2 linked regions of the Oryctolagus cuniculus genome follow. The protein of the gene in region 1 interacts with the protein of each later gene in a biochemical or structural test. Links are inferred from orthologs where the notes say so. Each region holds a gene or a part of one and is shown on either strand. Other genes may lie near its edges. The genes, in order: RC3H2 and KLHL6.

Region 1 (3,913 bases):
TTTTCTTACAGTAAAGTTAAAATAGAAAATAGATGAAATAACATATTTTCGTTAATCCAATTTAATCAAAATATCATCTCAACATGTAACCAAAATAAAAATTGATATAAAAGTTGCTTTGTACTAAGTCTTCAAACTCTGGTGTATATTTTGCACTTACAGCATATCTGGATTCACACTAGCAACATTTCAAGTCTTCAACTGCCACACATGGCTATTTGCTAACATTGGACAGTGCAACAGTAGAGTACTTAAGAATATAAAGTAATGGGGTGAGAAGTGTCACTATGTTCTGAAAACTCTATGTATGAGATAAATGAACTTTGTTCCACTTATACAAATAAAAAATGTAATTAAGAATATAAAGTAATACACAATACAAATTCTTAAGAATTTTGAGGTAAAACACACTTAAGAAGGCTGTCAAATTAGAAGAACCTGGTCATAATCACAAAACTTACAATATTCATTGAAACTGGGTGCAAAATATAAATTTATTTTTAACGTTCAGATAGCTTTTTTTTGACTAAGTTTCCCTGTTCTATCACTAGAAAGTTAAACTCCAATCTATCTCAACCAACATGATAAGCAATTACTTATTTTGACCTTGTTGTTATTTAGCATTGTTAGCTGTTGCATATAATAGAGAAGTTCTGTTTTTGAATATAAAGTTCTGAATGTAAAGGCAAATGCACTGCCGAAAGAACTTCTGTTGACTAGTTTCAAACTACAAGACAGCAAATCAGAAAAGCAGAAAGTGAATTAATGAAAACATGAACAAAGGATGTCAGTCTTCCTGTCAGGTTAACACAATACCACATCAGAAGTGACTGAAAAGGATCCACTCGTGGACACCACTGCAGTGAAATTCTCACAGAATAAAAACTTGGTTGAACAATAACATTTGATCATCTAAACATGACTAATATATGCTTAACATTTTGTGCTTCTAGCCATTTTTCAAACTCCCAAATGTGGAAAACACTCATCTCATCTCCAAATCAACAAAAATGGAAACGTTGAAAAACAATCTTTAACAGGATGTAATGGCTCTGTTTCTTCAAGCAATGAATGTGGAAGTAAACAATATGAAGGCAGGGACCTGAGGTTAGCAGAGTGGTGTAGCTCTTCAACCAGATAAAAGAGGACAAGAGAATCCACACACCATTCTCAACGATTCAGAAAGTCTTAACTAAGTCTATACATTGAACCATAATATGCACCATCTAAGTAAAACATGCTTTCTTTTGTTTTCCGGTAAAATTCTATCGCTTTGGTGTAGCAACATTAGCTTTCTCCACCTGATCAAAAAGTTCTTATTGGAACTTTGACCACCACCACCTCCGCCCCCCCCCCCCCCAAAAAAACAAAACTGAAAAAGATTGCTTAGATTGCTTAAGCACTTCACTGGGAACACAAAATCATTCTCATCCCAGGGGGTGGCGGAGAGCAGCAGAAATTAAAAACAAGGGAACTGATGAGGATGACGAGTAGGAATCAGGGAAGAAGGGGAGCCAGGTAGTTATGGAAATACAACACGGGCTGGGAACCACTGGGTTCGCTGCACTTTGTCAGTGAGGACGGGAGACTATTGTGGTGTGCAGGTCGCATCCGCCGGGGCCTGACCCCCTTCCCCTGGGATCCGAAGGGTGGAAATGACAGCTCCTTCCTTCCTGGGCGCTCAGCGCAGGGAAAAGTAGAGCTGGTAGCCTGAGAAACAAAGATGCTTTCTACCATTCTTCTAAGATGGTGGAAGAAGCTCCTCAAGAGGCTTCCCCAAGAAGGAGAAGGCAAAGAGGGAGAGCAGAAAGCCAGGGCAGGGCCGCCTGGCTGTGTTCGTGCCACTGCTCCAGTCACATCCCCCGAGCGAGCAGCCGCTCCGGGCCGGCCGTCTCCCCCGGGGACGGGGCGCCGCTCTCCCGGGGCATTGTCTGGCCGGGGTCCCTAGCTGCCACTCCGATCGCCTCCACCATCCCTGCGGCCAGGGTCTCTAGCAGCCCCGGGGCGGAAAGCCCGAAAGCTAAGAGAAGACTTCGTTCCGAGGACCAAAGCCTCTCTCCCCGGCCGGTGCAGAGCGCGGAGAGGGAAGCCTGGCCTTGGCTCGGGTGGGTTCCGCGGGGGTCAGAGGCGGCCCCTCGGCCAGTGTCGAAGGAAGGTGGCCATTGGAGCCAGTCGCTCCGCATCGAAAACAGCCCTACCCGACAGAGGGGCCTCCCTAGGCCGCGGGTTCCGTCCGAGTGTCAGGTGCGGCCCTCAGGTCCCCAGCCCTCGGGGCGCCGGCGGCGACAGCGCACAGGCCTCCCGGCAGGGACGAGGCTCCCGGCCCGGCAGCGGGGAACCGGGCACCCGGTCCGGGGCCCGAGCCGCATCGTGCCCGCCCCGCCCTACCTGAGGGGGCCCGGGCGGGGTCGCTAAGGGCCGCTCCCGGGAGCCCCGCGACGGCGCGGCTCGGCGACGGAGGCGCCTCGTCTCGCCGGGGCAGAGCTCGGCGGCGGTTTCACGGCCTCAAACTCCATCGGGAGCTACAGGGACAGCCCCGTTGGCGGCGGCGAAGGCCGCGACGGGGCCTCCTCCTCCTCCTCCCTCCGCCTCCTCCTTTTTCTCCTCCTCCTCCTCACCACGGAGGCGGACCTGGAGGGATCCCGACCCAGATCTCGCGAGAAGATACTCCCAAGATCACGCGAGATTACGCAAGCCCGGGAGTTGGGGAGGTGGAAGGAAAACGTAGTAATCCCCGCCACCTAAACTGCGCATCGTTTGTCTCCGGTCGGGCGGATCCGCCTCCATCACGTGAGGAGGGAGCCGTGGAGCATTGTGGGAGGCGCTGTGAGGAGGACTAGGCAAACCGAAAGGGTTGATGGGAAACTCCCTGCACGTTCATCTGCACCTCGAGCGAGTGTCTGCGCCCATCGTGCAAAGAGGCGCTGTTAGGAAGAGTCAGATGTATCTGTTGCGATCTACTTCCCTCTGCCTTCATGAAATGTTGGCGAGATCCCACAGGCCCTCTACACAGATGTCAAGTAATCTCCCAAGGGCAAAATCCTAAGTAAAACAGAACAAGCGTCTGCTCCGGAGGCCCTTCCACATCCCTGTCTCTTTATTGAAGGGAAACTTCTAATCTCAACAGCTAACAAAGATAAACATTTAACCACAAATTCTATCCATGTATCTAAATATTTGTTGAGGGATTTTTCACAGCATACTAGCAGGCAGGAATCACACCGTCGCCACAGATGAAGAATCAGCCTGGGAGTAGGGATGAAGGGAGTAGGGATGAAGCCACTTGGTATATGTTTTATTTTAATATTCTATTTCATTTAGTTCTCAAAATAACCCAAAGGGCAGATTGTGTGTGTCCTTTGTTACTGATAAGAAACTCAACCGCACAGGTTAACGACCATGACTTCTAATAAAACTCAAAACCTTCCGATGTGAAATCAGAAATCCACCACGAATTAAAAGTTGTAAAAATAACTTATGAACTATAATAAACTTTTAAAATGAGGTTATTACTGCCTGCATGGCAAGCAAAGATGTAGTTTTGGAGATTCAGGCTTTTCTTACGCATTGCTATCTTTTTCATTCTCTTCTGTGAACTATATGCAAATCTAAGAGAAACATCATCCCACTGTCCAATCAACTGAGACAAGCACATATTATAGACTCGGTATTTCTTAAAATCAATGATTAAAATAATAGCGGGGGGGAGGGGCGGCCAGCGTTGTGGCATAGCAGGTAAAGATGCCACCAACAATACCAGTATCCAATATGGGTGCCTATTCTAGTCCTGTGTGCTCCACTTCCTACCCAGCTCCCTATTAATGACCTGGGAAAAGCAATGGAAAATGGCCCAAGTGTTGGCGCCCCTGCCACCAATATGGGAGACCCAGGTGAAGCTCTTGACTTCTGCCTG
Region 2 (3,913 bases), on another chromosome or scaffold:
TGAACTGGGGTTGTGTGAACACATAATGTCTGGTATTGTGGTAGCTATTTTGTGACTTTAGAGGTGGAAAATGGAGCAATTCTGTGTCCTTGATGACATCACTGAGACACTAAATGGGACCTGGGACTGCGTATCTCTGGTTTCTTATAACATGAGACTCCCATTGTTCAAACCGCTTCTGATGGGATATTCTGTTATTGAAGCCAAAAAGCATCTTGATGGGTAGAGATCTAAGTAAAGAACAAGTTTGGGGGGAATATTAATGACCCTGATTTTAGGAGTACAGATCCATGGAAGATGAGAAGAGCTGAACAGACCGAAACTCCTGGGGAAGGCTCCATCACCACTAGCCGGAACGGAGGAAAGATCTGGGACTCTCTGAGCAGGAGGACTGCGGTACTGCCAACAGGTAGGAGGCCAGTGAGAGCAGATGTGACAGGGGAGGCTACTTGGTGAGGCCTGAGGGACTGGTCCAGCCATGGGAGGCAACCCCTGCACTTTCCTTCTGTGAGAAACACAAGAATTGGGGCTGTAGTGATATTCCCACCAGGTACCTGATGATAGTGGGGAACACAAAGGGCTTCACAGCCCAGCATAATAGGGCCCTGCCACTCATTTGAGCACAGCTTCAGTTCTCTTAGCCATAAAATGAGTATAGCCATTTGGTCACCATAAAGATCAAAATACATTAACTCCCAGGACATAGTGGGATTTTTATAAATGACAGTTATTGCTAACTAGCTGAGGCCAGCAGAGGTCATGATCCACCAAGGAGCTTGTCTATGTATATGTATATGTCCATCCACCATGCGTGGTCAGGAGGTGCTGTGGCAGATCAGGCCAATTTGAGACTTGCTGGGGCAGTTGGATGTTGATCTACCCTAACTGGTCTCCAGGAGAAGACACCCTGAGGGTGGAGTTTTAGGAAACCATTTCTTCTCTGCCCCAGAAGGATATTAGAAACAGGAGACGCCGGCGCCGCGGCTCACTAGGCTAATCCTCCGCCTTGCGGCGCCGGCACACCGGGTTCTAGTCCCGGTCAGGGCGCCGGATTCTGTCCCGGTTGCCCCTCTTCCAGGCCAGCTCTCTGCTGTGGCCAGAGAGTGCAGTGGAGGATGGCCCAGGTCCTTGGGCCCTGCACCCCATGGGAGACCAGGAGAAGCACCTGGCTCCTGCCATCGGATCAGCGCAGTGCGCCGGCCGCAGCGCGCCTCCGCGGCGGCCATTGGAGGGTGAACCAAGGGCAAAGGAAGACCTTTCTCTCTGTCTCTCTCTCTCTCACTGTCCACTCTGCCTGTCAAAAAAAAAAAAAAAAAAAAAAAAAAAAAAGAAAGAAACAGGAGACATTTTTTGGAGAGGAGGTGGTGGGGAACATTAATGTTTGCTCTGGTGTTGCCTCCGCCTGAGCAGGGAGGAAGATGAAGATAGAATTTGTGCAGTGCCCACAGAAATGAGTTGGGGACAAGGGGGTGGGGTGAGGTGGGGTTTCTAAGGTTCCCAGGGGATAGGGTAGGGGCTCATCTTGGGCTCTCAGACTCCTGCAAGGAGGCAGTGAGGACTGCGGCAGGCTACACACCCATCTCATCCTCAGCAATGTGTGTGTTGAAGCCCCAGGAGCACAAATGTCTTAACCAGAACCAGAGGCTTCCTGTTCACGGATACGGGGTGGGAGATGGACCAAAATAACCACACGGGGTTGGCAGGAGACTCTGAGAAGCCACCCTTTCTCTCCCAGAGCCCCTCCCACACACCCACCCTAAGTAATATCTAACCCGGGATCATTCACAGAAGGAAGAAGAATAGAAGTTGCTGGCGTTTGTAGTAACAGGATGAGAAAGTACGAGACTTCCTGTTATGTGTGTGTGACAGCTGGTGATAAGTGGAGGGCCCTGCACAGGAAATCCGCCCAGCTTCTGCATTGTGACCTGCCTGAAGCTTGGGTGCTCCTTCAGTCTGGTGTTGATGGCAGGACAAACGGGCGCCTGGACCATGAGCGACAACGCGGTGGAGAAGAGTTTAGAAGAGCCCTTGGCGCCTTCTGCGGATGAGTCCTCTCAGAAGAGGGGAGACTTGGTGGAAGTCTTAAATGGGGATAAGGTTAAGTTTGATGACACGGGACTCTCCTTAATTCTTCAGAATGGCCTGGAGACCCTCCGGGTGGAAAACGCTCTGACGGATGTCATCCTGTGTGTGGACATCCAGGAATTCTCCTGCCACCGCGTGGTGCTTGCCGCTGCCAGCAACTATTTCAGGTCAGCATGCCTAGGACCAGGGTCAGACTGGGTGCAGGTTGCGAGAAATGTCTGTGCGGACGTGAGAGCCTGATCTAACTTGTTGCTTCTTGCATTTATTATCTATTAAGGTCTGCTTAGCTACAGTATAAGCAAGGAAATAATGGAATCTTGGATTTTAGGATTTAAGCCACTTTGAAAGAGATTACCATCCTTTAAAAGCAATGTTTATATATTATGGCGAGTCTTTTATGTATCTGTCCTTGTTCCAAAGGATGGAAAATGACTTAAGTCATGGGGATTTTTCTCCCCTCGGTCTGACTAATGTGCTGGAAACATGGTATTGTCTGTGCTGATCAACAAAGGTGGAGAAAAAGGATGTGGTCCCTTTTGGGATTATCAAGAGACTCACTGAACAGCAGAGACTCCGTGTGTGTGCAGGGGCTGGGGAGGGGGGCAGGAAGAGCCCTTAGGTGCTTTAGATGCAAGAGGCCCCTCATTACAACAGAATGGCGGTTTCACACGGGCAGACCTGGAGGCAGGAGCCCGGGCTTCTGTCTCACTTTGCCCTTTCCTGACAATGCACTGAATTTTCTGTTTTGTCACCTAAAAGGGGGTCAGTGATGCTTTCCTCCCAGGTCTGTGTGATAATTAAATGTGAGAGTGAAAAGGGTCTTACATAGCTCCTGGCACATCGTAGATGCTCCATATATCTGTGTTGAAATTTTGCCCCTGATTCTGCTCAGTTCTGCTAAAAATCCATTTACTGAGTGTTTACCACTAGCACATCCCTGGGGTGGGAACATGGGAGAATCAGGAACCCGGTGAATGTGGCTGGATCTGGGTTCGCTGGATCACTGTGGACACGAGGGGGACCAGTCCTCAGGGTAATGCAGATGAAGCGAGTGTTTTGCAGAAGTGAACACTCAATACCCTTTATCATTCTTCTTAAGGCTAGAATTCTGGCCAAGGAAATGGACTCCTTTGACATGGAAGGTGTTTTCTTTTTTCACTTCTCTGGAATTCAGATAACTGGGTCAGCGAGGGTTGTGGGTTCCTGTGTTGTCGAGGCGAGGGGATATCTGAGTTTGAGGGAAGTAGTTCCTGCCACATGCTGGACAGACACAGTTATCTGATTTTATTTTTGCCACAGCGCATTGCAGGTGGCTGACACCCCTTTAACAGATGGGGAAATGGAAACACTACATTATATATCTGGGAGCAGAGTTAGAAAACATTCTAGAAATCCTTGTTTTAACTGTAGAAAAATGTAAAAAAATAGAAACTGCCACTAAGTTTGGGGTTTCATTCCATAAAAGCTAAAGTGTAAGCATCACCAAAAAATGGTTGACAAAGGTAAAATGCTATACTCATTCCACCATTATTTATTTATTAGAGAGGTAGAGTTAGAGAGAGGGAGACAGAGATAGAGACAGAGACAGAGACAGAGAGAGAGGTTTTTCCATCTGCTGGTTTACTCCCCAACGGCCAGAGCTGAGCTGATCAGAAGCCAGGACCCAGGAGCTTCTTCCCGGTCTTCCACGCTGGTGCAGGGGTCCAAGGACTTGGGCCATCTTCTACTGCTTTCTCAGGTCATAGAAGGGAGCTGGACTGGAAGAGGAGCAGCCGGACATGAACTGGCGCCCATATGGGATGCCCGTGCCACAGGCGGAGGCCTAGCC

The links.
Region 2: the proteins of RC3H2 (region 1) and KLHL6 form a complex in vitro, tested with the Homo sapiens proteins (2 studies listed by BioGRID, with this or other methods). The link is inferred for Oryctolagus cuniculus from reciprocal best matches to the Homo sapiens genes RC3H2 and KLHL6.

What each region holds. Positions count from the first base shown.
Region 1 is NC_091432.1:226,889,599-226,893,511, forward strand, and holds the start of RC3H2 (roquin-2), read right to left. Parts: upstream 2,787-3,913; 5' UTR 2,389-2,786; intron 2,224-2,388; exon of another isoform or gene 2,199-2,223; intron 1-2,198. UniProt on the Homo sapiens protein: Post-transcriptional repressor of mRNAs containing a conserved stem loop motif, called constitutive decay element (CDE), which is often located in the 3'-UTR, as in HMGXB3, ICOS, IER3, NFKBID, NFKBIZ, PPP1R10, TNF and in many more mRNAs.
Region 2 is NC_091435.1:93,144,112-93,148,024, reverse strand, and holds the start of KLHL6 (kelch-like protein 6), read left to right. Parts: upstream 1-1,755; 5' UTR 1,756-1,962; coding exon 1,963-2,252; intron 2,253-3,913. UniProt on the Homo sapiens protein: Involved in B-lymphocyte antigen receptor signaling and germinal center formation.